Cricetulus griseus: one gene and its partners. The protein of the gene in region 1 interacts with the protein of each later gene in a pairwise test. Links are inferred from orthologs where the notes say so. Each region holds a gene or a part of one and is shown in the gene's direction. Other genes may lie near its edges.

Region 1 (7,410 bases):
AAAGGGGAATTGTAGGGAGAGATCCTGGATACCTGTACTGCCCGTTTGGGCGTGGTCACAGGTATCTAGGATCTCTCCCTACAGATAAGGTCCCATTTTCTGGTTTCCTGGCTCTATCCTCATGATGGAATCACCTTCCATGTACTAGCATGCTACAGGTTAGGTTTCAGACATACAGTACACGGAGAGGCTCATGTATAGATCAGCCTGGATCAACTTCAGCCTTTGAAGACTCCTCCTATAGGCAAGACTTGCTGAGCCTCAGCCAAGACCCATTTGTTATTTGCTGAAGGTTCTCCCTTCCAGGGTGGCAGCTATCATAGCCCTAGTGATAGCTTTTCCCTCCTGGTTGGGATGAAGTTTACCTTTGTGCCAAGGTCCAACCTCAGCATCTTGTATTAAGGAGTGTTTTTAAGCTAAAGCAGTGTCCAGATAGACCTAGCTGTAGGTGTGTGTATGTGAGCACATCTCTCTGTCTGTCTGCCTGCCTGCCTGCCTGCCTGCCTGCCTGCCTGCGTGCGTGCGTGCGTGCGTGCGTGCGTGTGTGTGTGTGCACACGCACATGTTTGTTTTACAGAGATTGCCCTGTCTCTTTACTGTCCTGTCCTGCTGTGATGTTAGGGCAGATCAGGTTCCTCTGTGAGGGTACTGTGGTTACAACAGAAGTCCACAGACTTGGAGGCTTAAACAAGCACTTCTCTTCACGGTTCTGGATAAAGGTCTCATGCTTCTCTGGGTATGAGGCTGTCCCAGTCCCAGGATTCGTGGCCCTTCCCTCATATGTTAGGGTGACACAGTGTTCCTCACCCTACAGATGCCTTTGCTCTGTAGAAGTCTTCATACCCTGTATACTTGAGGTCCTTTAATGCTGATGGCAGGGCTGTGTGCTTACTATGCTTACTCCTATTTCTCAGGCTAAGGTCGATGCAAGACTCTCGATAGGGTAGGGATCCTTGTCCTTTCCTAGTTTGCTCCCAGCTCCTGTCCTCCTGGTGTTGAGGTGGTGGGAGTCCTGCTGGGGGGTTGTCCTGTGGAAAGCCTGGAAGGTGAGCCTGCTCCAGTGACCTAGGTCACTCCAAAGGAAGGCTGCATGCTAGACGGGCCTCCTGCACTGGCGTGCGAGCTCTCTCCTGACACTCCTCCAGGACTTTCTCCTGTCCCCACCATTCCTTTATGTGTCTAGCTAGAGTCTATAGCAGGCAGGGTCACCTTCCCTTAGTCACCAGAGAAAGAAGATGGATTAGTCCACTGCCATGGAGGAGGCCCCCCTTCACTCCTTACTACTTGGGTTTGGGGTTCCTTTCGTCACCTGATGTCTGAGGGATCCGATTGCTCTGGGAACCTGTGTGCCTTGCTGCCAGGCACTTATTCATACATTTGTCCATCAGGTGCATACCGAGGCTGGGGCCCTGTCAGGCACAAGGGTCCTTTGTTGCCTGTAGGGTTCCCCAGCTACTTTAATAGCAGTCACATAAAACCAAGTGCTTAACCTGGAAGCCATGGGACAGGAGGGGCCTCTGCTCCAGACTCTTCATATGAGGCCTGGCTATATGAGAAGAACCCAGAACTTCTCCCAGTATGACTTGTTTCTTCTACTCTGGGACTTTGAATGGCAGAGCAGGCCCTTGGCTCTGGACCCTGCTCTGCTGTTGCCTTCTGGCCTTTCCTAGTCACGTCAGCAGTCTTAGTTTCCTTTTGTGAGGTGAGAGTGGCACCTAGTCTACCACCCGCTGCCATGGGAGAGCAAGGCTTGTTCTTGAGTCCTCAGAGCATCTCAAGTAGCTGAGTGAGGGAGCTCCAGGCCTCCCACTGTTGCCATGTAACATGTGAATGGCACGTAGGACATGGCATTTGCTCAGATTTCATTTGAACCAGAAACCTGGCCATAGGCCTCTCTCTCTCTCTTTAGGGCACAGTGCTATGTAATCATAGCCTTCACCAGCAGCTTCTGGGGCCTTGGCTGTAACTTTGTCACTGACTGACAGCGGGAGCCCTATTTTCAGATGTAGAAGTCACTGAGAAGGGTTTGGAACTTGTTCAAGTTCATTCAAGGTTAAAAAATCAGAGTGAATCTCTGAATTCACCCTGAGTTTGAAGTTTGAACCTATAACTTTCAAAGGAAACATGGGGTGCTCACTGCCCCCTTTCTCCATGTCTCAGATTCACAAGAACAGCCAGGCTCTCTGACCACCTGTAGCAAAAACCTCTTAGCTGCAACCCAGGGCTGACAGAGGAGTGGGGTGGGGAAGTTGGGGGTTGGGGTCTGCTGCCTTGAGGTGTCGCAGAACCCAGTGGTCTCCATCTTAAGCTTCTGCAAGCTTTCCTCGCCTTTTGTACTGGTTTCTCTCCTTAAAGCCCCATAGGCTTCAGTGTTGGCCCTGCTTTATAGGCGAGGAACTCGTTGCTAGAGTTGTGTACATCTTCCTGGCCCTGCTTGGGTGCTCGGTGGTGTGTATAGCTGCCAGCTAAGATCACAGTAGAGTTCTGGAAGAAGCAGGCTAGAGCTATCTGATGCCTCCTAGGTTGTGAAGGGGACCTCCACAGGGGTCTTAGGCATAGCCTTACCTTCGGAGGGGAGAGGGGGCTGGTTGGCAGTCACATGCAGTACCCTCACCAGGAGTTCCAGACCAGTCCTTCTCTTCACACTCTCCTTTATTCTCCACAGGGTCAAGATAAGCATGAAGATTTGTATGCCACCGAGAACTTTGAAGATCTGGAAGCCGAGGTTCAGTTTTCAACACCACAGGCAGCTGAAACCTCCCTGGACTTCTCTGCAACCTCTTCCCCGGACCAGTCCCTGTCTTCTTCCCTGGGTCATGCCCACAGTGAGGGCCCAGCTCCTACCTACGTTTCCAGTGGACCCTTCAGGGAAGCGGGGCTGTCGGGACAGGCCACCTCCCCTATGGGCAGAGTCAATGGGAGGCTCTTTGTCAATACGAGAGACTTATTCTTGGCCAGTGGCATCCAGCGAAGATTCTTCCACCAGGACCAGTCCCCTGTGGGGGGCCTCACAGCTGAAGACATTGAGAAGGCCCGGCAGGCCAAGGCTCGCCCTGAGAGCAAGCCACATAAGCAGATGGTGGGTCTGAGAGGCAGCATAGTTGGACCTGGGTGGTATTGACCCCTAATCCCCCCCCCTCTACGTTGGGATGCTGTGTCTTGAAGGATACGGCAACCTTTTGGTACAGTGCTGCCTGCTGGAGTTGCGGCCAGTGGGAGTGGAGATGGGGGTACAGGCAGCATGAGCCTCAGGTTGCCTTGTTTCATTTGTCAGTTTTGTCAATTCCATAGGTTTCTTTTGTTTTTCCCCTCCAGCTCAGCGAGCGGGCTCGGGAGAGGAAGGTGCCAGTTACCCGGATTGGGCGGTTGGCCAACTTTGGAGGTGAGGTGGCCACGTTCCCTGTGCTGCCCCTCTCCTACTGCCCTGCCCTGTTTGTCCTGGTTGGGTGGAGGTACAGTGGAGGCCACTGTGCATTAAGGTGGAAGTGGTTTGGGAATCAAGCCATGTGCCAGTATTGGGAAGCATGTGGAATGTAGCCCAGGAGCTAGCTGTTAAAGGGTCTGGGTGTTCCCATGGGTGATGACCTGGTACTGAATTCCATCCCCATCTTGGCTTATCCTTGGGCCTGGTGTGTGGCCAAATCTTGCCATGAGCTGTAACCTGGACTACTTTGTGGGCCTTTGTCAGGGCAGCCTTTGCAGACAGGAGACTGGCCATGAGTACAAGCTCTTCACTGGACCTGTCAGCTCCCTGGATAGAGGACTTTTTACCCTGGGTCCAGCCATTTGGGGGACAGGTTTACCAGGTCCCGTTGGTCTGAAGCTGTTAGTGTGATGATATTGACAGAATGTGGCCCTCTGTTGCTGTCAGTTAAAGCCATTTCACTTTGCTAGTGTTGGGGACTTCATCTGTCCTTACTGTCATGTGAACAGCCTTTGAAATCTCATACCTGCGTTCTTTTGCAAGGACCTTACACACTGAAGGTGTGTCCCCATTGCTCATCTGCAGAGGCCCTGTTTGGAATGCTGGCCATCTGCAGTGGGATACTCTGACATGGGTTTCTGGTGGTACCATTTATTAAGGTGTAGCTGTCCCCAGTAGGTTCTCCAGGCAATATAAATGACAAAATAACAGTTTTGGTGGCTTATTTTACTTATTGGCCTTGGCCAGATGGTTGGGTATGTAACAGGTATGATGGGTTCATGGTGCTGCTGGTGGTGAGTTGCTCGGGAGGCCCAGACCTCTGTCTACCCTTTTCTGGGAAATACGCTTTCTTCTATGTTCCATCTGTATTGGTTACTTTTTTTTCTTTACTGTTGACAAAACATGACAGAAACAATAGGTTTCAGAGGGCTCAGCTCTGCTCATTTGACTGTTTCTGGGCCTGGAGTGAGGCAGTTCATCATGGTGGTTGAAGTATGTGGTAAAGCAAATTCTTCACTTGGTGTTGGGCAGAAACAGGCTGGGAATAATCGACCCTCATGGATTCAGCCCCATCGTGGTAGCCGCTATTCTGTGCACTCATAGAGGAGGGGCTGAGCCCAGACCTCTGTCTTGTATGGGGACATCTGAGCTTCCTGTCCTATAACTAGGTCCTCCATGTAACCAGCCAGCAGAGGGCCTGTTAGGTCTTCCCCGCCTCTGGCCAGGTCCTGAGGCCCTGGGAGAAGAAACCTCGGGGTGCTCCCCTCCCTCCCTTTTGTTCCTCTTCCTTTTGTACCTGGGCTGTGGCTCCTGTCCTAGGACCATGACTTCTCTGGGGTTGAGAATGCTCTTGGATGCCAGGTATTCTTCCAGGAGACTGTTAATACCTAGAAGCAAAGGGCAGTGCCCATGTCCATCTGTCTGCTCTGTGTGGACTTTCTTAACAAAGTGAGTGAGCATGTGTGTTAACTAAAGTGGGGTTTGGGGCTGAGGGTGTGGTTCAGTGGGTAGAGACCTTGCCTAGTACACACAAGACTGGCTTTCACCCTGAGTACAAAAAAAGGGGGGGGGGTAAAAGCAGGACCGGGTCTGTGGCGTATGGTGCCTGATAGCTCAGTGTTGTCTGGCTGCTTCTGCAGAGGCCTCTTTCAGCCTTGCTTTGTAAACAGGCCCCGGAGTTTCAGCAGGCAGAGCCAACAGCATCAGGAGTGGTGGCTTACTGCTCTTGCTGTCCTGTGTGTCACTGTCCTGCTCTTGAAGGACTCTGTTGTTGAAAGTTGTTTTGCTTTTTTCTTCTCTGGTGACTGGAGGAAGTGGAGTGACTGCTTCTCGGGTGACCCGAGTACCCAGAAGAGGCCCCAGACCTGGACACAGGCCCACCGGGCCTCTGCTTTGCCGAGAGCTCGGGCCCGGCCACTTCCCTTCCTTGATGGCAAAACCACCTTTCAGGATGGGCACTTTGTAGCCTGCAGTGTGCTGTTGTTACAGGCCAGGAGGAAGGCTGCCAACAGGGGTTTCCTGGTCCTGGTGACATGTAGACAAGCCTTCTAGAGCAGGGGTCACAGTAGGAGAGGCAGTGCTGTGTGAGGTCCTTGGGTGCAGAAGCAGGGTACCTGACAGGTGGCAGGAAATTAGTTTCCCCAGAGCCACCTGGCTCTAGATGAAGGCTGAGCTGGGCAGGGAATTCCAAGAATCACACGACACCAGGCCCAGTGCTTGGGTTGGAGGGCAGTTTTTTCTGAGTTTGTAGAACTGAGGAGGCCAAGATCACAATTGCTGGCTGGGTGAGCTTGTTTTTGCTTTCTGGTTTGCCTGCTGCAGGGAGCCTGTCCCTCAGTCGGCAGCTCCTGGGCCTGGTGCTATTACTGAGGAGTCTGAGGCCTCCTTCCTGGAATGTTCCTTCAGGCGTTTGTTTAGTAACAGCTCTCCCCATTGTAGAGTTTGTGCTTTGCCAAGAGCCCAGATACAGCCAGGAACAGTCTGAAACAGCGTGAAGTCCAGCCAGGGTATGTTTAGGAGGGTCCCGTGTTCACCTGGACAAGCTGATGACCTGTGATATCATCTGCCTTTTCTGTGGGCTCGTCTCAGGGTGTGCTCTCAGCAGGAGGACTCTAGATGTAAAGGGACATTGGTGAAGGTTGGTGTCTAAGTCGGATATTGTGCTGGGTAGGGTGAGGAAGACAGGTGGTGGGGAGTTAATGTTTAATCAGGACTCTAGTGCCCAGTGCCCTGCAGGGTGGCAGGGGTAGGAGGAGTGTTAAAGAGAACGGCGCTGGTGCCTGCCCCCACCAGGCATCCATGTTAATGCCTCTATCCCAGGGCACCATGTCCCTGGTGGGATTTTTGTTGTTGTTGTTCGTTTGTTTTTGTTTTTCCAGACAGAGTTTCTCTTTGTGGCTTTGTACACCAGGCTGGCCTGGAACTCACAGAGATCCACCTGCCTCTGCTGGGGTTAAAGGCGTGCGCCACCACCATCCTGGTGGGCTATCTTAAATTGTGTCTCTGGGCATTACAGGAACTGTGACTTCTTCCAGTTTGTGTGCTGTGCATGTGCCTCCCTACAGGATTTCAAGACCAGGCACACACCCACAGATGGAAAATGCCTTTAATTTTGATAATGATGTCTATTTTACACATACTGGGTTAAATACATTAGAATTCACTCTTTGTGTTTCTGCTTGCCTTTTTAAGTGGGCTGCTAGAAAATCTAAAGTCATGCATGCAGTTGGCATGAGACTTATTTTGTCATCGCTGGCTTGATTGTTTTTGTTGTGGTGCCCTGACCTGATAATGTGAGCACTTTACCCTTTGGTTCTCTTGGTGACCTCTGAGGTAGGAGCAGCTGTTAGAGCGGGCAAAGTAGAGAGTGCACTGCCACCTAGTGGTAGATAAGATATATTATGAAATCTGTAAAAGAATATCTTTTAATTAAAATGCATTTAAAAAATTATCTATTTGTGGCTTTTTTTTTTTGAGGAAAGGCTTTTGTATTCCCAGATGGCCTTGAACAGTGGCCGACCTTCTGCCTCTGCCTCCCAAATGCTGGGATAACGGGCATGTGTGGCTATGCCCAGCTTAATTTTTTTTTTCATGAAATTAGTTTTTCAGTAAACCCAGTATTTTTCTTTAATGAATTATTGTAGAAAGGCTGGAAAGCATCAGGCCTCACTCACCCTGTCTCTGAGTGGTGTGCCTGTCTTGGACAGCCTTTGAGAAGGGAACTCCCAGAAAGGTGCGGGTCTGAGACAGACTCCTAGGCTCTCTCTGCCTGGTCTCAGTCAGGAGGGAGGGAGAGCCCAAGGCTACTGTTCTCATTGTTATTGCTGCCAGCATGGGAATGGAGGGAGTAGGGTCTGTTCCGGCTCTGTGGGCTTCAGCTGGGACACCCCATGTTTTTGCTGTTGTGGAACATTCTACCTTTTACTGCTAGCTGCTTTATATTGCTACGGCGAAGGCTTAGGAACATCAAGATTGCTGGCCCCTCT
Region 2 (6,334 bases), on another chromosome or scaffold:
ACTGAGAAAACTCCAAGTAGAACTAACTACCCTACAAATTATGCGGAGCACCTTGCACACACTAAATCTTAAGGAGTATTAGCCGCACACCCCATTCCCAACCCCTTGCATTGTGGCTACTTCCTCTCGGTAGAATTGTCGGGACATGACTCTCAATTCCATAGTTCAGCGATGCAATCTTGTGGCTGCACCAGAAATGAACAGACTCATGGAACTGGCAATTGAAAACCTAGATGCTAATTTTCTCATTTGCAAAAACAATTGAGACTTAGACAAAAAAAAAAAAAAAAAAAAAAAAAACAGGATCATCTTCTGTTTCCTATGTCCCCATAGACAAACTTATCTGAAACAAAGTTCCCAGTCAAACAAAAGCCAGTGGAAAGGCAATAGGTAAATAATATTAAGGATAAATGACACTGGCTCTATGGTTTCAAGTCCAACAGCACCAAACATGCCAAGGCCTGGGTCTTTGGGGACGGCTTCCTGGGAGACAGCTGAATGCCCTTCCTATCATTCTCACTCAATCTCTCCTTTTTCTGGGGCTATATTGTCATTGTCTATATTGTCACTGTCTCCCCTACCACACTCCCTTCAGTTTTCCTTCAAAGTATGAGTAACAGTTAAATTTCTAAGTCACTTCTACTCATCTTTTATCACCAAACTGTCCATGTACTTAATAGCTCTGCAACCACTCCCATTTCATAGATTCATTCAGTGGGAACACATTTATTCTCATTGAATAATAGTAACCAGCAATTGTGACCATAAATTTATTCCATGTTCATTCCTTAATTTCATTCTTAAACTGCAGCCCTAACTTCCTATTTGGAGTTTTTTGTGAGGCACAGTACTGCACGCCTGCAATCCTAGCACTCAGGATGTAGAGGCAGAGACTCACTGAGAGTTAGAGAGCACCTTGCATTACACGGCAATTTCAAGGCCAGCCTGGAAGGCATGAACAAACCCTAACTCAGAATAACTTGAGGTCACAATGTTGTAAGCCTCTTAGGTTCATAACCTCTATCTTTTTTTTTTTTCAAGTTTCTCTGAGCAGCATCTCACTATATAGTCCAGGCTGGCCTTAAACTCTCAATCTTCTTGCCTCCGCCTTCTGAGTGCTGAAATTAAGGCATAAGATACCATATCCAGCTCTCTGTCCCATTTCTGAAGTTATAACATCTCCCCAAACTGCAGTGCTTAAGACATCCAATGGCATCCTCCTGCCACCCATAGCCTAGCTTACCCATTGGAAAAGCCTATTCTGCACCCCAGAGTTGGAGACCTAACTCCCCCACTACCCCCCCCAGGGCCTTACCCCACATTCAGGGAAGAGAAATGGGTACAGAAAAAATTAAATGGCTGAATGGCATCCCAGACACCCAGCCTGAGAACTTCCAGGAGGAAGCAGCCTCTCCTCCCTTGGCAGGAGTCCAAATAGTCATGCTGCTAGCATGCTTTCCTGACAAAGCCTGAAGCCATGGGAAGTCCCCCGGGGCAGAGAATTACTTGCCATGGCAATAACTAAGGGTGAGTACTAGCTAAGCGCTACCTAGGCTACCAGTGTTTATGAGGCAAGACAAACTGTTATCCTGTCCTTAACTCAAGGCACTGCCTGGGAATAAGTCACAATGCCCCAGGTGTCCAAATCCAGAATGGTCGGCCCAAGTGGGAGGAGGTGAGGAGGGTTTGGTGAAGATAGAGTGAGAGTTGGGGGTGGGGGCATCCACAAAGGGCCCAGTTCCCTATTCTCTGAGCTCACCCTTGAGTGTAAACCAGGGTCCTCCTTCCCCCTGATTCTTAATCTCCTAGCACTAGCTCCTCCTAATACCTCCAGCCCCAGTTCTGCTCGTCCATCCCCAAAGCCTTTATAGATTCCATATTATCCCTCCCAGCAGTCTGGATACTGGAGAGTGGTTGAGTAGGTCAGTGAGCCATGTGTGTCCCCTGGGACTTCAGCCAGGCCCAGCTCCTGGACAGTATCCTAGGGCTGGGGGCACTAGGAGTGACAATTGGAACAGTCTTCTCGAAAGCTGGCCTAGCCCTGCTGCTCCTGCTGCTGGCCAGCTTCCTTGCTTTTGACCTGCTCCATGGGTAAGTGGCAGCAGCCTGCCAGGTGGGTGTCACAAGCACAGAGTCAGATGAGCAATTGCCTTGAGCTGGCATCTTCTCTCTCCACAGGTCCACAGGTCCCATCCTGCCAAGACACAGACTTCTCCCGATGGGTCAGAGCCAGGGGGCTGGTGAAGGTCCGGGACAGCAGGCAGCTCCCCTCTTTCCAACAGGGATAGTCTCAGGACTACTCAGCCTCCAGGATGCCCTGTTCCTGCTGTTCCTGGGCCTGGGCCTATTCTTGGGAGGCTCTGGTATACCCTTAGCCCTGCTGGGCCTTGCTTTCTGCCTCCATCCTTGGGACCGAGGGCCCTCAGAAAACTGAATGCCTTCTAAAAATACATCGCCCATTCTGCTTCCCCGGCTCTCCTCTCTTCTATCCTGAGTTACAGAGGTTGTGGTGTAAGGGTAGAATACACTATTGTGTCAGCTTGAACCTCAGAGGCCTCTAGTTCCATAATATGGACATTTGAGAACTGGGTCTGAGGCTTAGGGTGATAAGAGAAGGCAGAGAAAAGGGTGGACACAACAACCAACTCCAGTCCTGCAGTTGGAGGTAGCCATCAAGAAGGGACGGGAGTGGGGAAGGGTTCCTACAAGCAAGAAGAATGGTATCTGGGAGGCTTGCTGAGCTCTCCTGCCAGCCTGGAAGGTCCGTAGTGAGGGACTCAAGTGAGTCTCACACTATGCTGCAGTAGCTCTTCTCTCAGCTGGGCCCCGCCCCAGCCCAGGTCACAATGGACTCCTCTGAGGATGGTGGAGTGAGTGAGGGTGAGCCTGGGACCTGGCTGCCAGGCCAGCCTGGGCACAACAGGAAACATCATGACTTAGGTGGCTCTGACCAAAGGTAAGTCCTAGGCCCCAGTTCAAAGCCCAATCCTGCCCGTGCTGGTATCCTCCTGACCCCTGCAACCCCACCTATCCAGAGATCCTGGGCATCTCCAGGGCTGCTCCTGCAGCTGGCCTGGCCCTGTCCACAGGTGCACCAGCCGTGATGCAGCAGCCACGAGTGGAGACGGATATCATCGGGGCTGGCGAGGGGCCCCAGCGGGCAGTGCCCTGGTCAGCCTGGGTCACCCGTCAGGACTGGGTGCGATGGTGGGCATGCCACATGCCCCGGAGCTGGTCCCAGTGGTGGAATACATCAGGCTGGCGGCAACCTCTACAGCGTATGCTATGGGGTCTGGAGGGGACACTCTACCTGCTGCTCGCACTGATGCTATGCCATGCACTCTTCACCACTGGCTCCCACCTGCTGAGCTCCCTGTGGCCTGTGGTGGCTGTGGTATGGAGCCACCTGCTGCCAGCTATCCTGCTGCTGGTACTCAGTGCCATGCCTGCTCTGCTCTTCGCTGCCTCCTTCCTGCTGCTCTTCTCCACACTGCTGAGCCTCGTGGGCCTCCTTACCTCCATGACTCACCCAGGCTATGCCCAGGACTTGGACTAATAGAAGGGCAACCCCATCTTATTGCCTGTGTCTGTTGAGCCCTGGCCAAGGTCTGAGCCCTGTGGGGAACGTCAACAGACCTCAGACCCCCAATCACAAGCACAGGTGGAGGTCTGGCTTCTGGGAATCTACCTTAAACCCATGTTGGTGTCGGGGACAGGACAAATGGTTCAGCCAGGGCCAAGATCTTGGTCAAACCACTGAGAACACCTGTACAGATGTGGTAGCAACACTTGGTCTCCCAGGCAGCATCTTTTTATCATACCTCCCAGCCCTCCCTGCTTCAGGCTTCCTGAGAGTTTACACCTATATATCCCTGGTCTCATCACTCTGTGTGGATTTGTCATGGATCCTCTGCTTCCAGAAGGAGCATAGACTCTGGGAAAGAACCTTACTGAAAGATAGACAGGGGTGGTCCTGGTCCAAAACCCTGGTGACCTCACCTCAATCACCTCCCAGAAACAGGAAATAGACCAATCATCATAGTGAGGTGTGTGTGTGTGTGTGTGTGTGTGTGTGTGTGTGTGTGTGTGTGTGTGTGTGTGTACACATGCTAGAGAATGAATCAAGGCTTTGTACGTAAGCATACACTCCACCCTACATACATACAGAGCCTCCAGATCTGTTAGGAAAGAACAAGTCCCATTTCAGACACCTACACTTTGGCCAATTCATTATTTTTGAATCTCATTGTTAAGTGGGTCCCATTCTTTTCATGGGACTGTTATGATCCAAAGTCAGTATCTATTTGCAAAATACTTTGGGTTTTTGTTGTTGTTTTTGTTTTCATTTTGAAACAGGGTCTCATGAAGTCCAGGATGGCTTTGAACTCACTATTTAACTGAGGATGACTCTGAACTTCTGATCTATTGCCTCTACCTCCAGAGTACTGGGATTAAAACTTGTGCCACAATGCTTGGTTTTATGAAAAGTACTTTGTAAGGCCAAAAAGCAGTTAAGATGTTTTGGCTCCAAGAACATTCTACAAGCGCAAAAAGCCTTTCAATCCAGAAGTTAAGATGATGAAGCAAGTTTCTTTAGAATTCCAGAGAAATTCTGTCGTGGATAGAATCTCAGCCCTAAAATAGTTAACACAGAATAGATGGTGTGGATGAAATGTAAAAGGTTGTGTCATACAACCTCAAACTAGGCAGATATTGAACTATACTGGTTGTGCAATGCTTGAGGTTGTAGCCAGGAAATGCTTGCAAAGCTGTGTGAGTAGGGAAGTAATAGCTCAGGGATTTCCAAAATTGATCAAGCAAGTTGTTTACATCCCAGAAGGTTTTGGATCATCCATAAGTCCTCAGAGTCTGGCCATTTACCTATCTGCTGACCCCTCCAACCAAAATGTTGAGTATCAGTTACCAAATAAAGTGACAGACATGTTAGATAATTTGCCAGGGCCCAGCTAACAGTCTTTATCCACACCCACCCCTTCCCATTTCCTCCTGCTTCCCAATTCCTTATCTGTTTTTTAATTTTTATTTTTAATTTCTCATATTTACATATCCATCCCCCCATTCCCTCACCCTCCCATGTTCTTCACCCAACCCACCCCAACCTACTCCCCGACTCCTCTCCAGGGATAGTGAGGCCCTCTACCAAGGACCTTCAAAGTCTGTCATATTGTTTGGGGGAAAGTCTAGACCCTCGTTGCTGTATCTGGGCTGCAATAGTATCCCTCCATAGGGAGTGGGCTCCCAAAGACCATTTGTGCTCTAGGGATAAAGACTGGCTATGCTGTCAGAGGAGCCATAGACTGTCTTGGGCTCCTAGCTGGTAGCCACATTCAGAGAGTTTGGTTTGGTCCAATGCTATTTCCCCAGATTTATGACTAGGATCTCCATTCTATCAGTAGGTCAGGTCCACTGTTTCTGCAGGTCTCTCCATCCCCGTCTTGGCTCCTTTGCTCAACCCTCCTCCCTCTCCACAACTGAATTCCAGTAGTATGGTTCAGTGCTTAGCTATGGGTGTCTGTTTCTGCTTAGAACAGCAACTGGATGAAGACTCTCCTTCCTTTTCCTGCCCTGGGCTCCAATTTTGTCAGGGGTTCTTGTCCCCATCCCCTTCTTCGAGGGACTATGCAATCTTCTCTTGGGTTCCTCCTTGTTTCCTAGCTCCTCTGGCAGTGTGGAATTTAGGCTAGTGATCCTTTGCTCTATGTCTAAAAATCAAAAATGAGTGAGTATATACCATGTTTATCTTTTTGTGATTGGGTTACCTAACTGAGTATGGTTTCTTCTAGTTCCATCAATTTGCCTGCAAATTTCAGGATTTCATTGTTTTTTTTTTCCACTGAGTAGTACTCCATTGTATAAATATACCACATTTTTTTCTATCCATTCTTCAGTTGAGGGGCATCTAGGTTCTTTCCGGGTTCTGGCTATTACAAATAATGCTGCTATGAACATAGTTGAACATATGTCCTTATTGTATGAGTGTGCATTCTTTGGGTATATGCCCAAGAGAGAGATTGCTGGATCTTGAGGTAGACTGATTTCCATTTTCCTGAGAAACTGCCATATTGCTTTCCAAAGTGGCTGTACAAGTTTACTTCCACCAGCAATGGAAGAGAGTTCCTCTTTCTCCATATCCTCTCCAGCATAGATTGTCATTTGTTATTGATTTTAGCCATTCTGACAGGAGTAAGATGGTATCTCAGAGTGGTTTTGAGTTGCATTTCCCTGATGGCTAAGGATGTTGAGCACTTTCTCAAGTGTCTTTCAACCATTTTGGATTCCTCTGTTGAGAATTCTCTATTAAGTTCTGCACTCC
Region 3 (8,081 bases), on another chromosome or scaffold:
TAAACAGCAAAATTGGGACTTGAATGTGGTTATGGGAACTGCTCATGGCTTTAGTTAAAAACCTATGTGTAGACTGAGGAATGACAAGAGCCAGGCTAGGCTAAAAGTGAGACCCTGTCTCCAAAGAGAGGAAAGAGAGATGGGGAAAGGGGGGGGGACAGAGAGAGAAGAGAGAGAGAGAGAGAGAGAGAGAGAGAGAGAGAGAGAGAGAGAAGAAGGGGAAGAAATAGGGGGAAAGAGAACTAATCCTTTAGGACACTTTTCTGTTTATTCTTAAGAAATGATGTCAGCTTAAGACCCTCATTGTCTTCAGCTTCAAATCCCTAGGGTTGACATATAAAACTCAGGATAACCAGGAAGCTCAGAATTTCAGGGAAGCATTTTTTCAGGCAAAACACCTTTTTAAATAAATGTGTTCCAAATACATATGAGACATGCATATACCAAAAAGTTATAGGTTGTTAACCTCAAAAAGAAATTTACCTGAGAGTCCTACAGTTTCAGTTGCTAAATCTGGTAATCTAGGGGGAGAGGCCAGCTGTATTTAGGTCATATTATGGCTCTGGCTGGTAATGTTGGGCCCAAAAGGGGGTCCAACTTCGGGGAGACCAATCCCACAGAGTCACTCACAGGATGCAAGTTCAATGCAAAAGCAAAATGATTTTATTCCAATGCATTGGGGTCTTTTCCTAAGAAGAGATAAATCTGAGTTTCCAAAGCAAGCAGTTTTTATATCTTTTTGGTCACTAAGCAGGAGTGTGACAACATATTGATTCACTATAACATACATGAGTCATTTACTGATTGGTTGGGAACTGAACTTACAATTTTGCCCACGAGGGGTTTGGAATGTTATTTTGGTTTTTACACTTGTAAGGCCATGGAACAGCTAGTGATTTTTCCAGGAACTGAGTGACTTATACTTATTTTCAATACGTGGGTGCTCTGGAGCAGGGTAACCCATAACAATTTTTAGAAACCAGACAGTTGTTGAGGATAATAGCATTCCTTGGAAACTAGTAATAATAACAATTTCCAGAGACTGGTCTTCATGAACCAACCATTTCATGTGTTCTTTTTCCCAGAGCTGTGTGTGTGTGTGTGTGTGTGTGTGTGTGTGTGTGTGTGTGTGTGTGTCCAGAGTGATTTTCAAATACATGCTTGTGGGTATCAGGCTGGGTTTTGAGTTGGGGTCTTTCAGTAACAGTTAGGATTAATGCATTGCTGAAGAATTGTCTCCATTTCTTATTCTTCAGAGCCAGTGCTCAGGTTAGACCTTAGAGGGCTGAAAAAGAATTGCTTAACTAGAACAAGTGTGTTAGCTCATAGGGGTTACTATCACAAAGTGCCACAGTCTGAGCGGCTTATTAAAAAAAAACAACAGCAAAACAAAATAAACAAGAAAAACAAGAAACACCATTTCTCATAGTTCTAAAGGATGGAAGTCTTAAGTCTGAATGTCAGCATGGTGAGATTACAGGGAGGATTCTAGACTGCCAGCTTTGTATGCTGCTCTTCCATCTCCCCCCTTTATAAGGCATTATATTAATTAAGGGCTTCATCTTCTTGCTTAATAGCTTCCCAAAGGCCCCCACCTCCTAATATCATCACACTGGGGGACGAAGAGATAAAATTATTCAGTTCATTGCTATAGAAAATGGTGGGAAAGCCTAGGAGAGGCTTCACATGGGTTTATTTTATCAATCCTTTGAATGTTCATAAAGAGCCAAGTTCTCAATGCTACAGAGATGCTGACCCCCAAAGGAGAAATACAAGGTATTGTAGGAAAGGCAGTGTCACTCCAGGAAAAGCAAAACCTACTGATTTAAAAAACGGATGCGGGAGGTGGGAAGAATTAGAGAATTCAAAGAGGTGCCCCTAGATGGCACCCTTACGCTGAAGTCCCAGAGAAGCCCCGATTTTCCAAAGCAATGTCCACCAGGGTCTGATGGTCTAAGGAAAACAAACCCATTTTTCTTTTCCCCTGGGTGGGAATGTGTTATACTGCAGCTACAGGAAGTGTATGCAGCCAGACAAGAGTGCCTGAAATAAAAAAAACTTCAGTGACACACCCTTATCTTACCATGCTCCCCATGAGAGTTAATATTACTAATATCACACAGCCACAGCTAGACTTGGGCCCTGAGATGGAGACTCCAGAGCTCCAGCCCTTAGTTTTCCACTGTAAGCTCAGAGGCAGTGCTTCTGAATACCCGATGGCTGCGCCCCATCCCCCAATCCCTCGGAAACATTTTCAGCCATCACAGCTGGGAGGAGCTGTTACCATATATTTATTTATTTCGTGGGTAGAACCCAGGAATGCTTCCAAGCACCCCACAGTGCGCACAGGGCATGTAGGAAACAGACTCATCCCATCTCAAATGCCAACTACTATTGAGTAATTGCACTCTTCAGGCCTGGATTTGGAATCAGGAAACGTGGGTTTCTCTACCATGGATCCTTGAGAAGAGGATCTGAGTTTATTTATAAACCTTATCCCTTTAGCTCTCCGTTTGTTTTTGTTTTTAATCTGCAAAATGGAGATAACCCATCTCTAAGATTCCCTGACTGCCAACATTTGCACTTTCGTAATGGCTAGACTTTCCAGTCTAGGAGGTACTTCTCCGACTCGAACTCCGGAGGCGAATCTAGAACTGGATCTGTATCGAAAAGTTCTTCTAAAAACCCATCTTCTGAGGCCAGTCCACCTGAGACGTGGCCCCAGAACTTTCACTCCAAGCCACCGTTGTAGGGACTGTCTCCAAGCCCTCATTTCCTCGTTAGTCATCCTTTAGAGTCTAAAAGTTTGTAGGGGTTGTTCCTAGAGTGTGTGGTAAGAAGCAAATACTCCTAGCAAAGCTGGCAGCCGCGCGGCTGGTGCCAGGATACCGGATCCTTCCCGCTGCGGCGGGAAGGCGGGGCAGGAACCTGGGCCTGGGCGGAGAATCAGTGTTGATCCTCGGTGAGGGGGCGGGGGCCTAGGGGAGGGGCGTGGCAGAAGAGCGGGGCTTCTTCCTAGTTGAAGGAAGAGCGCCTGCCGGTGGGGAGCTCCAGCTCCCGTCCTCAATCAGGGCTGCTTCCCTTCTCTTCCTCCTACTCTGCTTTCCGCCCCTGGTGGCGGCTGAGCTGGGTGTCGCGGCAGCTAGCACCAGGTGAGAGAGCAAAGCTATGGGATGTAGAGTTTAGGGGCCCCCGACTGGCTGAACCCTCCAAGCTCGTCCTGGGAAGTGGAGGAGTTCGGCGGCGGCCAGGAGAAGTGCACTAGCTTCTTTCGCCAGTAGCTGTTGGTCTCTTGGGTTGGTCTTGAAGGTATCTGAAGCCTCGTGTCGCTGGCTAGACGCGGGTGGGAGCTCACGGGGCGAGCCCACCCACCCTTTCCAGCCATCCCCGCGCTTACACATCGGTAGCTAGATTTGGTTAAAAAATAGGGGGTGGGGGTGAGCACCAGTGCCAATCCACGAGCGAGGCCCTGCTTCATTTGGGGGAAATCTGCATTGGAAAATTTAGAGTCGCCCAGGCATCCACACCACCTCCTTAGGATTGATCAACAGGGGTGTCATGCGCCACAGCAGGAGTGAGCTGCAGGTGTCAAAGGTGGGTTTGCCCCAGAAGATCAGTGAAGGGTGCCCAAATATCCTGAGTTGTCCGTGGTCGGGTGTCAGATCTACATCTGCACGTCACACCCTTTTCTTCTCTCTGGATTCCCGGCCTTAAATTGAAAGTCTCAATACTCATCGGAAAAGGGAACCGGGATAGGTCTTTAGGCGCCCCAAAGCCCTGCCCCCAGCTCTGGGATTCGACCCGACCCGCGGCTGGAACGTTCACGGTGGCGGTTTGCTCATGGGACGAGGCAGTAGGGAGGCAAGGCTTTATTTGGAGCCTTGGGGCGGGGCCTGTTCTGGGGGAACCTGGTTAGGCCCCCAAGCTCAGAGTAGGCGGGGCGCCCTAGGCTAGTTGGGGTGGCTCCTTCGGTCCTTCCTTATGATGCTGCTTAGTGTCTGCAGAGGACCCTAGAAGAAGTTGAGGTCTGGAAATTGGTTGGTGGCTAGGTAGACGCGTGTGCTGACTGTGGTCATCCGCATTCTTCCCAGGTTTGCCTTCATCAGACTCCCCAGACCGGTCCGGTAGGCTCTTACATGTTTTCCAGCCAGAAGACGACTTGTAAGGGGGGCAGGTTGGCTTGTTTTAGCCAGCTGCAGAGATGAAATTAGGTGAACTGAAGGCTGGGACCATCCTAAATTCAACAACATTGCCAGCTGCTGCATTAACGACATAAATATGGGAGTTGGTGTAGGAGTTGGTTCTCCCCTGGCTGAGAAGAGACTCTCTTTGTAGCCGGCGTTATGAAACTATACATACCACACTCTATAGTGTAGACAGTGGTAAAGTATGTTTCCTCACTGTAACACATAATAGGCAAGTGGGATATTCAATGTGGTAAATAAACGTGAGGATCTCTGAGTTGTTTTTGACACCGTGACAGAATCTACATAGCTCAAGTTATGTGAGGTCAGAGGGTTGGCTGATAGGATATATGCAGAGATCCTATTCTGTCCCACCCAGACAGATGTTCTGGGATACATAAAATAAGAATAATATTTTATTTGAAAACCAAACGAGGGCTAAAAGTGTATCTAATTTGGCGAATTGCCTTCATGAAAAAAAACGCATAAATGATGTGAAATGAATAGTCTTGTAAATTCCAGGTTTTCTATCGACAGAAAATAATTATGCCAAGGCTTTGGGGACAGGTATTGTTAGTGAGGACCTTACCACACATAAATAAAAGGTGGCATTGTTCAAGGTGCTTGGGAGCCAAATGAAGAAGAGAAAGTGTCCCAAGTCCCTGTTGAAGGAGAAAAAAAAAAAAAAAAAGACTGGGAGGGGTAGGGGTAGAGAGAAGGGGTGAGGAAACTTGAATAGTACATATAGTTTTCTTGTTTGTCATATGTTCTTTTCAACATTCAGGCTAAAAGGCATACACACTCAGAGATTATGTCTTTCTAGCTTTTTTTATACTGTGTGTTTGTGTGTGGTATAAAACAGTGAAGTGTTTATTTATTGGTTTTTTGAAACAGGGTTTCTCTGTATTGCTTTGGAGCCTGTCCTGGAACTCACTCTGTAGACCAGGCTGGCTTTGAACTCACAGAGATCCGCCTGGTTCTTCCTCCCGAGTACTGAGTACTGGGATTAAAGGCGTGTGCCACCAACACCCAGCCATCGACGTGTTTATAATAAACAGATTTAGCTTCTTCCTTCTAGCTTGCTTGCTGGTCATTATATATTACAAACAGGAATGAGATACACACCCTTTGGAAATATTTTCATATATCTATTTAACTCATTTAGGTTCATGAAAAATAAATTGCTGGATCAATGTCTGTGCAGCTTATAAATTTGATAAATATTGTCAAGTTGTATCCATCTGCATGCCTGCCATCAGTGTGTGGGATGGTACAGGCTCCTCAGGGATTACTAATGTTTCAAGAAACTTTCTGTTTCCTTCAGTGATAGCAAGAGACAGGCGACATGAGAGGCTGGGCTACATGCTACATCAGTGAACTTAATGGTAGAAGATATAATTTATAGTGAGACTGAAAGACATTTCAAGATGGCTAAAGAAGAGCCCCCAAGTGTCTCCAGAGACTTGCAGGAGCTGCAAAGGAAGCTGTGTTTGCTGTTAGACTCCTTCCAGAGTAACTCAAAGGTTAGTCTCCAATGCTATGTATAATGAGAAATGAACACTGGTCTGAACAAGACAGAGTGTTGCTTCTTTCTCAAATGCAAATTTACAAGAAAGTCAGGAATCTTTCTCATTGCACCTTGATATGTCTGAGTTGTGCCATGTTCGTTGTGGCTGCTAGAGCATCAGTCATAATATTGACATTCAAGGTAACAGGACAATAGGGGAGTGGGAAGAACGATTGTTTTGAAGCCACCTCCAAATTAAGGAAGATTCCTGGAAGTCACAGAGAATTGCAGAACACTCCCATTTACATCCCATATAATGGCCACTCTTCAGCTGAATCTAAAGAGGCTACTTTTAGCAGACACTACTCTTTTCTTTGAAAAGTTTGGCTCATCTGCTCCCATAAGAAAGGGGGCCAGCTAATAACTAGTTTAAGATCTGAGTTTTGTTTCATTAGAAATCCATCATCCAACAGAAATGTTACTTTAGCCACATGTGCACTAAAATATCTTATTACTTAACCCTACGTACAAAGAAGCAATGGCTTAATTTTAAGAATGTATCTAAGTTAATAAATCAAAAATAGTGTCATTTTAGTATATAGTCATGGAAAAGGAAATGTTTCACATTCTTTTTTTTGTACTGACTCAGAATCCTAGGCTTCTTTGAATTTACAGGACTATTATGATACAAATTAGCCAAGTTTATCATGTTCAGTCACCACCACTCAGTGCAGTGGGATTTGAGATACTTTGCATTTGTATCTTTTTTTTTTCTGTATGCCTTTCAACAATGGTTCAGTGGGTGAAGCTCTTGTCCAGCTATCATGAGGATGTGAGTTTGAATTCCCAGATCCACATGTGGTGGAATCTTCAGAGGCAAGACTTCATTGAATTTCAGGTTTGAACCATAACAAGCTGGAAATGTTTCTAACTTATAGACGCTCCAGATTCCCACCCTTAAAATATAGGAGAAGTATGTGATTTAGAAAGAGGCCCTTCTGATAATGGCACTTCATTTCAGCCACTGGCCTCCAAGGCCCTGAGGAATGAGACACAGGAAAGACCAGTTTTTGATGGAGGAGGTGCACTCTACCACCACCACCCCCAGTTTTCTTTTCTTTTTATTTCACTGTTGTTTTTTGGGGGGGGATATTTTTTATATAATATATTGCATCCTGGTTTCCTACTTCTCTCAGAGAATCAGCACCCACCCAACTCCATGCCCTTTCTTTCTCTCTCTTTAAAACAAACAGGCATGCTGGGCGGGGGTGGTCCACACCTTTAATCCCAGCACTTAGGAGGCAGAGGCAGGCAGCTCTCTGAGTTCCAGTCCAGCCTGGTCTACAGAGGGAGTTCCAGGGCTACACAGATAAACTCTGTCTCAAAAAACAAACAAATAAACAAAAATCCCAACCATAAAACAAACTGGCAAGCAAAAAACAAAGCATAATAAACAAAAAGAAAACAACACAAGAAACACACATATACACAATCCATAAAAACACAAAATTGGAAATCATTATATACAGGCAAAAGGTTAGTAAGATAAAAAATGCCCAAACAAAGCACTGAGAGACAAAAAGTCTACAAAAATACCATTGAGTTCATTTTCTGTCATCCATCTATTGCTGGGCTTGGAGCCTGCCCATAAGCCAGTGAGACTCCATTTTCCTTCGCAAGTGGATAGCTTCTTGGTTAGGGATGGAAGCTCATGTGATTTGACCCTCTTGGTGCTGGGATACTGGCCACCTTGAATTGTGCAGGCCCTGTGCATGCTACCACAGTCTGTGAGTTGCATATGTGCATTAGTCCTTTTGTGTCTGGAAGATACTGTTTTTTTTTTTTTGTTTTTTTTTTAATCTTCCTTTCCCTCTGGCTCTTAGATCTTTCTGCCTTCTCTTTTGCATAGCTCCCTGAACCATGAGGGTAAGAGTTTGATGAAGAGATCCCATTTAGGACGGAATATTCCCCCCCCAAAAAAATCTCTCATTCTCGGAACAATTTTCCAGTTATGTGTCTCTGTATTAGTTCCCATCTACTGCAGGAAGAAGTGTCTCTGCTGATGGATGAGAGAGACGCTTATCTATGAGTATAGCAGAATGTAGTTAGTAATTTTATTGCTGTTTCTTTAGCAGAGCAATACTATTTGTTTTTCCCCTAGGCCTCTCTAATCTAGATTCTTGGCCACAGGAGCAGTGTCAAGCATGGGTTCTATCCTGTGGAGTGGGCTTTAAATCCAATCATAGTATGGTTACTCCCACAGCATTGGTGCCACTATTGCACATACAGGCAAGTCACTGTTGTAGATTGCAGAATCTGTAGCTGGGTTGGTGGTTACTTTTCTAGAGGAAGGTTTTTGAATGATGGGATCTTTCAGGGAATGGGCTTCA
Region 4 (8,159 bases), on another chromosome or scaffold:
TGGTTCCTGCCTTGAGTTCCTGTCCAGACTTCTCTCAATGGTGAACTTGTTACATAAAAGAATAGGATCTGGTCTGGAGAGATAGCTCAGAGGTTAAGAGCACGGACTGCTCTTCCAGAGGTCCTGAGTTCAGTTCCCAGCAGACACATGGTGGCTCACAACCATCTATTTATGAGATCTGGTGCCCTCTTCTGGTGTGCAGATATACTGTTGTATACATAATAAATAAATAAAATCTAAAAAAAAAAAAAAATTGGATCTGCCTCTAGATTGGTGTTTCTCGATATTTCTATTTCTAATCCTTTCATACAGTTCCTCATGCTGTGATGACACACAACCATACAAGTATTATTATTATTATTATTTGTTTTTTGAAACAGGTTTCTCTGTGTATCCTTGGCTGTACTGGAACTCACTTTGTAGACCAGGCTGGCCTCAAAGTCAGAGATCTGCCAGCCTCTGCCTCCCTAGTGCTGGGATTAAAGGCGTGTGCCACCACAGCCCACCATAAAATTATTTTCATTGCTACTTCGTAACTGTAATTTGCTGTTATGAATCATAATGTAAGTATTTGGGGGGAGATAGAGGTTTGCCAAAGGGGTCGTGACCCAGAGGTTGAGAACTGTTAGTCTATGTTTTACCGATGCTTTTGTTTCCCCTACTTAAGGGTTAATCCAGTGGGGCAGGTTGAGGACCTGCTTGGTGATGCACGTGCAGGCTCGTCTTAGAATAATGTAAATTTCCACCCAGGTTCAGTTGGGTCTTTCTGACTTCTGACTCAGAAAACCTTTTTCTTTTTGTTTCTTTTTTTTTTTCTTTTTTTCTTTCATTTTTGGAGACAAGACCTCATTATTTAGCCCTGGAACTTGCTATCTAGGACAAGTCTCACTGAGATCCAATATCCTGTACTTTTACCCAGAGTGTTGGAATTAAGGGTGTGTGCAATCATGCCTGGCACATTTCTTCTTTTGTCTTTTCCTTTTGGATTCTGGACAGAGCCCAAGTGTGAGAAGGTTTTTGTTTTGTTTTATCAAAGATGGCTATCTTGCCTAAGGGTCAGTATTCCATAACTCTCCTTAGTTTGTGAAACTCTTGTAGTATACGTCCAAGCCTCAGATGCCAAACATTTCTGAGACTTTTCATCACAGGCTTTCCCTTTGTGAGTATTATGGAGTAGCAATCATGTCAAATTGAGGTTGAGCTCCTACCAACCGGGTGAGACACAGACACACCTTTGCCAGAATAGAAATGAAGTCAGCTTGTGGCTTAGGTGTGCTTGCCTGCCTGGCTGGGTTACTTTCACTTTGTCACTTGCAAGAATATTCTTCCCCAACATAAGTGTACTTTTAATTTCCATGCACTGGGATTCCTTGCATATTCTCTGAAGGCCCCCCCTCCCCCGCCATGTGACTGACCTCTATGCCGGTTTATCTTATGACAAGGCTTTCCCCTTCTCCATTCTCCTCCCCCAGGCAGTTTCTAGATCTCCAGCTTGTTTGCCCTGTTTTTTTTTTTTTCTTTAAATTTGCACTTTGGGCATCTAGACTTACCCTCCAATACCCCCTCATGCCATGTGGCTGACCTCCAAACTGGCTATCTCAAATGGCATCATGCCTTTCCTTTTCCTCCATTCTCCTCTGGGCAGCTGTGAGAGTTACAGTTTGCTCGACCTTTGAAGGGTTGCCCTCTAGCCTTCGTTTTTATCTGTTCTTAAATTCTTTCATGGACTATAATCCCCAAGAAGGGACCCTGACTTCACCAGTTAACATGGTGACATTGACAGATGCCCAAAGCGCTTCACTAATACATCTTTCCGGTGCGTTTTAAGTTAGGTTTCATAGTTGTAACGACCATGATCAAAAGCAACTTGGGGAGGAAAGAGTTTATAGGTTACAGTTCACTAAGGAAAAACAAGATGGAAATTGAAAGCAAGAACTGAGGTAGAAGCCATGGAGGAACACTGCTTATTGGCTCGCTCCCCAAGCTCAACCAGGACCATCAAAGCAGGGGTGGCACCACCCACAATGTCTGGTCTCTCCTACATCAATCATTAACCAGGTTAATGACCCCACGGGATTGCCTAACAGGCCATCCCAGACAACTCTTGTGTGTGTGAAGCTGACAGGGAAAACCAACCAGCCAAACAAACAAACAAACAAAAAACAACTAAAAACCCCACCAGGACGTGAGAGAAAACTAACTTTTTCTTTAACCCTAGATGGCATCAGACTATAACCCGGAGAAGCGTAAGATGAAATATGCTTTTGCTTGGCGGTGGTGGCACACGCCTTTAATCCCAGCACTCTGGAAGCAGAGGCAGACCAGCGAGTTCAAAGCGAGTTCCAGGACAGCCAGGGCTACACAGTGGAACCCTGTCTTGAAAAACCAAACCCAAACTAATCCAAGCAAAAACCCCGCCCCGCTTCCCCTTAGTTGTTTATCACAGCAAGAGAAATAACTGGAGCGGAGAGGAAAATAATAAAACTTCTTCCTGGAGAGAACGCTTGTGCACGCCTTCCGCCCATTCATGCCTTAAACTTTTGTGGGCCCAGGCTGGCTTGTCCTAAAAGAGCCAAGAAGGAGGCACCTGGGTGCAGAAATCTGCTGTCTTAGTGTCAGTCTGTTTCAGGAGAAAACAGGAATAGGGACTGGCAAAGGAAAACGGGTTTATTTACAGCCTGGCCAGACTGCCTGGAGATAAGTTCTTAGGCTCCTTTACCTTTCCTGTTTACAGCAAAGAGGAAACAAAAGCCCGGAAGTGTGCATGATGATTGCTCTGCAGCGAGGGGATCGGAACGGAGAAATCTCTCCTAGGAAGCCCCTCGCTTTCCCTTCTCGCGACAGGGAGTGCCGAGGGCGTTTTAATTACTCAGGGTCCGCGTGACATTGGTTCAGGTAGTCCGGACCCGGCTGTTCCCATCCGCGAGGGGGGGGGTTCCCGGAACCATTCCTACGCTCCCTTGGACACCGGTCAATGGCGTTCCATTGGCCGGATGTCTACTCCGCCTCAGTTCCGGTGGAAACCGGAAGCAGTGCGGGCGGGATCTCTAGTCCTTCCGGCACGCAGACCCTCCCCCCTCTAGTGGCAAGTCACCGCCTAGTGACGTCATTCCGGTGCGCCGGCAGGGCTACATCCGGGTTTCGGCTGGCGGGCTCCTCGCAGGCTCTCGTAGGCTGGAGAAAGCTGTGTGGCTGGCAAACGCCGAGCGAGGTGAGCGGCGGGGTCGGGGTGGCGTCCTGGGAGCACGGGCTGAGCCTCTGCGGCGGCCCCATGGCCTCCCTGCGCCCGGGTCTCCAGCCATGGGCTGCGGCGGGGCCGGGACCAGATGAGGCGCTGGGAGCCGCCAGCGTCCCGATGCTGACACTGGATAGCCAGCCCCGGGCGCGCTCGTGTTGTGAGCAGCACCTGACCGCTGTGAAATTTTTTTTTTTTTGTAGCAGTTCTGTGCTGGGGAGGCGACGGTGTTGTAATCCGATTGGTCCAGGGCTCCCTGCCTCCTTTGAGAACTTTGCGAGCAAAGTGCACTCGTAGCTCAGGTTGGAACCTGTTGATGTTAACGGTGCATAATGAGGAGGAGCAGGGACACATTTGTTAATGGCTAAGCAGTCCCACCCTGCTAGAGAAGCCCAGATCTCGCTGTACGTAAGGAAGACCGCTGTCAGTCGATGGCGTCACACACTGAGGACGTTAGTGTGCTGTGTACCACGCTAGCGTTTTTGTGTGTGATATCCACGCATGTGATAACCACGCACAGAGGCGCTGGTAGAGGGGGGCTTTGAACTCAGGCTGTGTGGTTTAAGTGTTCCTGATTTTCACAATCCTCCCTACCTCCCTCCGTCCCTACACAGGGTCTCTCTGTGTAGCCTTGGCTGTCCTGGAACTCGCTGTGTAGACCAGGCTGGTTTCTAATTCACAGATCCGCCTGCTTCTGCCTCTCCAGCCTGAAGAGGATACTGTTTTTGGTTTTTGTTTTGGTTTTTTCGAGACAGGGTTTCTCTGTGGCTTTGGAGGCTGTCCTGGAACTGCCTCTTGTAGACCTGGCTGGTCTTGAACTCACAGAGATCCGCCTGCCTCTGCCTCCTGAGTGCTGGGATTAAAGGTGTGCGCCACCACTGCCCGGCGAGGATGCTGTTTTTAAAGCACCTATTGGGAGCTCAGCTTTTGTTATTTTGTTTGTTTTGAGACCAGGTCTCACTGTGTGGCCCCGACCAGCCTGGTATTCACTATGTAGACCAAGCTGGCTTTGAATTTACAGAGTAGACCTACCTGCCTCTGCCTCCTGAGTGAGGCGGTGGGGTGGGAGGTTGAGGAGGGGGATTGTGGAGTAGGTGTTGAGGAAGTTTTCTTTCTTTCTCTCTCTCTCTCTCTCTCTCTCTCTCTCTCTCTCTCTTTTTTTTTTTTTTTTTTTTGGTTTTTCAAGACAGGGTTTCTCTGTGTAGCTTTGGAGCCTATCCTGGCACTGGCACTTGCTCTGTAGACCAGGCTGGCCTAGAACTCACAGAGATCCGCCTGCCTCTGCCTCCCGAGTGCTAGGATTAAAGGCGTGCACCACCAACTCCTGGCAGGAGTTCTCTTTTCTAAAGTGCCACTTTAATCAGTCCTTCTAAAACCGACTGTAGTCACTGATACAATTACCGAGATGGCCAAACAGATTCCTGGGTAGAACAGTTTGTTTATCCCACACCCTCTAGGTGCCGCTGTGTAGTGTCATTCATAAAGACCTCAGCCTTCCAGTACCTCAGAAGCCACTCAGGTTTGAAAGAAAAAACCCGAGTGTTACACTGGTCATTCAATCTCATGAAACAGTATTTCAGAAGACATTCAGAAGTTTCCCTGGGACTCCCAGTTGGCTTGATATAACTCTTGGAGAACTGAAGAGGCTGAGGTGCCCACTCAGTTTCTGAGGTAATAACATAGAACTATTACTTCCTTCCTGTGGCACTTATGGGTGATGTTTGACTCTGACAAGGCCAAGGCAGAATGGGTTCTTAGACCTGTATGGACTGCTGGGACTGACTTCTCTCACTTGTCCCAGAGCTGGCCACTTTGTCCTGTGTTTAATGGCTACTTTATTGACTGGTAGCATGAGGCTAATGGGCTTTCCTTTGGAAGAAACAGGAGTAGAGATTCCTGGGCATCTTCTGTTGGCCCCAGGGTTTCACATTGCTCTTCTTGTCCCCCTTCCTCTAGTGACCAGCCATGTCACTGTCCCACCTGTACCGGGACGGGGAAGGTCATCTGGACGATGATGATGATGAGCGTGAGAACTTTGAGATCACTGATTGGGATCTCCAGAATGAGTTCAACCCCAACCGGCAGCGTCACTGGCAGACCAAGGAGGAGGCCACTTATGGGGTATGGGCTGAACATGACTCCGATGAAGAGAGGCCCAGCTTTGGAGGCAAACGGTACTGTCTGCTGAGCTGCATGCCCTGGCTTTAGAGGATCGGAGAGGCACCCCAAAAGAGTTTTCTGGCCTATCAAGTCCTATAGCTACAGCATCTTGCTGTGTGTTGTTGACCTGGGGTGGCAGGTTCTTCCTCAGCACTTACTGTGACGAATACAGCTACTTAGGGATAGACGAGTGCTAACCAACCACAGGCTTGGTAGCTTTGGAACCATGCCCTGGTCAAGGAGCATTCTCACAGGTCCTAAAGGATAGGGAGGTTAGGGAAGGTCACCCTGTAGAATACAGTTGGCTGAAATGAAGGTAGAGAGTGATTAGGGCCACAAGATAAGTGTGGTAGGACAGCCTGTGCTACACAGTAAGACACTGTCTCACAAGAAAAGAAAAATGCATGTGTCCCCACACTTAACTACACTCAGAATTTTTTATTAATTTTACTTAGGATCCCCCCGAGACAGGGAGTCTTTGTGTGGCCCTGGCTGTCCTACCACTGCCTCTGCCTCCTGAATGGCAGGGATTAAAGGTGTGTGCCACCACTGCCCAGCTAAGATTCTTATCTATCAGAATTTTTCTGCTCCTGTTTGATTTTTACACTTGAAATGGTATCTAAAACAAATGGTGTGTTGTGTGTTGCTGGGAATTGGACCTAGGGCCACATGCATGCTAGGTGAGTGCTTTACCACTCTAAAAGCTAAAAACATTCTTTTCAATTGTAAAGGGGGGGGGGCAGTGGGATGGCTCAGCAAGTAAAGCTGCTTACCACTGCCACACAAGCCTGGCTATCGGAGTTCTATCACCAGATCCTACATAAGAAGTGAAAAGGAAGACCCACCCCACAAAGTTGCCCTCTGACCTTCACATGCTTGCGAGGCACATGTGCCCTCATCGTGCACATTTTTAAAAGTGTCAAAGGGAGGGCTGGAGAGATGGCTCAGAGGTTAAGAGCACTGGCTGCTCTTCCAAAGGTCCTGAGTTCAATTCCCAGCAAGCATATGGTGGCTCACAACCATCCAAAATGAGATCTGGCGCCTTCTTCTGGTCTGCAGGGACACATGCAGACAGAACACTGTATACATAATAAATAAATAAATAAATAAATCTTTAAAAAAAAAAAAGGTGTCAAAGGTAGTGGGGCAGTGGTGGCACACACCTTTAATCCCAGCACTCAGGAGGCAGAGACAGGAGGATCTCTGTGAGTTCAAGACCAGCCTGCTCTACAAGCGCTAATTCCAGGACAGCCTCCAAAGTCACAGAGACACCCTGTCTCGAAAAACCAAAAGTAAAAAAAAAAAGTGTCAAAGGGAAGTAAGGTTATTACATCATCTTTTTAATTTATAATCAACTCTGGGAGCCTATCCTGGCACTCACTGTGTAAACCAGGCTGGCCTCAGACTCACAGATATCCACCTGCCTCTGCCTCCCGAGTGCTGGGATTAAAGGCATGTATCACCACTGCCTGGCAAGATATTATAATTTTTAATATGCTAAACATAAGATTATTGGAGGTCAGTTTTGAGTCCCTTTTGGCATTTGGGCATAATAAACATATTATGGTTTAAAGTGGATCCCACGAGGCCCCTCTCTCTAAGAAGTTCTCTCTGTGAGGACAGGGTGCTGCAGAGGTGTTTTCTAGCCTTGGGGGATTTGTGTCTGTTTACAGGGCCCGAGACTATTCTGCACCGGTCAACTTCATCAGCGCAGGGCTCAAGAAAGGGGCAGCTGAAGAAGCGGACTCTGATGATTCTGATGATGATGAAAAGCCTGCGAAGCAGGAGGACTTTCCAAAGGACTTAGGACCAAAGAAGTTAAAAACGGTAGGTCTCACAGGATAGTCTCTAAGTGGCAACAGTCAGAGGTCATCAGTGCAGCAACTTCTTTGGCAGAGAGAAGCCCAGTGGGCAACTGTGTATGCTACCCCCATAGGTCCTGAGTCTCTTTCCTGGTCTGTGTCCCTGATGTGGTTTCGGTCTACACACAGCTTTTCATAGCACACTGGCTGCAGGCTGTTCTCTCTCTCATTGGCATTCTCCCTTTTATTCTGTGTTTCTTTCTCACCCATGCTCATCAGGCCTTCTTTGCAGGGTGGCAATTTTAAGCCCAGCCAGAAAGGCTTTGCTGGAGGAACCAAGTCGTTCATGGACTTTGGCAGCTGGGAGAGACACACAAAGGGCATCGGGCAGAAGCTGCTACAGAAGATGGGCTACGTCCCTGGGCGGGGCCTGGGGAAGAATGCACAGGGTGAGTGAGGCTGTGGCCCAAGAGGAGTTTGGTAGAGGGATGCCTCGTCTGCCTCTTCCCTTTAGGAAGCCCGTCAAGTATGGGGTGATCTCTGCGGATCAGGTCCTGGGAAGGATGCTTAAACTCAAACCCAAACAAAACAGCTGTTAACTTTGCAGCTGGATTTGGCAGCATGGGCCACTTGTGCTCTCCAGCTGCCCAGCTTTTCCAGAATCCAGGTTCAGTAAAGCGCTTCCTTAAGTAGGAAGGAAAGCGGTAGGGTCTAGAGTGGCTGTACATAACTGATAATATTTGCAAGTCAGACTATTTCACCAAGAACTCTATAGAGTTTGCCTGGCAGGAGTTTGTTAGCTTCACAGCTTCCTCTGGGCTGTGTGAGGTCTTATAAAGCAATGTCCTCAGCTCCCTGTGGCCCGCCAAGTGATCATGTGTGTGAGCCTGCTTGGGCTCTGAAGGCTCAGCTCTGTAGTCCCTGCTTCGGTGGTCCCTACCTTTGTTGTCAGTGTGCAGCAT

The links.
Region 2: the proteins of Coq8a (region 1) and Tmem239 interact in binary tests that used the Homo sapiens proteins (3 or more experiments, as listed by UniProt). The two-hybrid records come from large-scale screens. The link is inferred for Cricetulus griseus from reciprocal best matches to the Homo sapiens genes COQ8A and TMEM239.
Region 3: the proteins of Coq8a (region 1) and Tmem159 interact in binary tests that used the Homo sapiens proteins (3 or more experiments, as listed by UniProt). The two-hybrid records come from large-scale screens. The link is inferred for Cricetulus griseus from reciprocal best matches to the Homo sapiens genes COQ8A and LDAF1.
Region 4: the proteins of Coq8a (region 1) and Tfip11 interact in binary tests that used the Homo sapiens proteins (3 or more experiments, as listed by UniProt). The two-hybrid records come from large-scale screens. The link is inferred for Cricetulus griseus from reciprocal best matches to the Homo sapiens genes COQ8A and TFIP11.

The regions. Positions count from the first base shown.
Region 1 is NC_048598.1:14,069,017-14,076,426, forward strand, and holds part of Coq8a (atypical kinase COQ8A, mitochondrial), read left to right. Parts: intron 1-2,665; coding exon 2,666-3,079; intron 3,080-3,315; coding exon 3,316-3,382; intron 3,383-7,410. UniProt on the Homo sapiens protein: Atypical kinase involved in the biosynthesis of coenzyme Q, also named ubiquinone, an essential lipid-soluble electron transporter for aerobic cellular respiration.
Region 2 is NC_048599.1:48,202,942-48,209,275, reverse strand, and holds Tmem239 (transmembrane protein 239), read left to right. Parts: upstream 1-3,088; 5' UTR 3,089-3,103; coding exon 3,104-3,556; downstream 3,557-6,334. Other genes in the region: CUNH20orf141 (uncharacterized protein C20orf141 homolog), read left to right, coding at 1,934-2,091, 2,179-2,434.
Region 3 is NC_048596.1:80,520,118-80,528,198, reverse strand, and holds the start of Tmem159 (lipid droplet assembly factor 1), read left to right. Parts: upstream 1-3,003; 5' UTR 3,004-3,152; intron 3,153-4,091; exon of another isoform or gene 4,092-4,124; intron 4,125-5,508; 5' UTR 5,509-5,566; coding exon 5,567-5,707; intron 5,708-8,081. UniProt on the Homo sapiens protein: Plays an important role in the formation of lipid droplets (LD) which are storage organelles at the center of lipid and energy homeostasis. In association with BSCL2/seipin, defines the sites of LD formation in the endoplasmic reticulum.
Region 4 is NC_048597.1:91,998,076-92,006,234, forward strand, and holds the start of Tfip11 (tuftelin-interacting protein 11), read left to right. Parts: upstream 1-3,081; 5' UTR 3,082-3,211; intron 3,212-3,438; exon of another isoform or gene 3,439-3,639; intron 3,640-4,692; 5' UTR 4,693-4,906; intron 4,907-5,191; 5' UTR 5,192-5,200; coding exon 5,201-5,409; intron 5,410-7,068; coding exon 7,069-7,222; intron 7,223-7,489; coding exon 7,490-7,646; intron 7,647-8,159. UniProt on the Homo sapiens protein: Involved in pre-mRNA splicing, specifically in spliceosome disassembly during late-stage splicing events. Intron turnover seems to proceed through reactions in two lariat-intron associated complexes termed Intron Large (IL) and Intron Small (IS).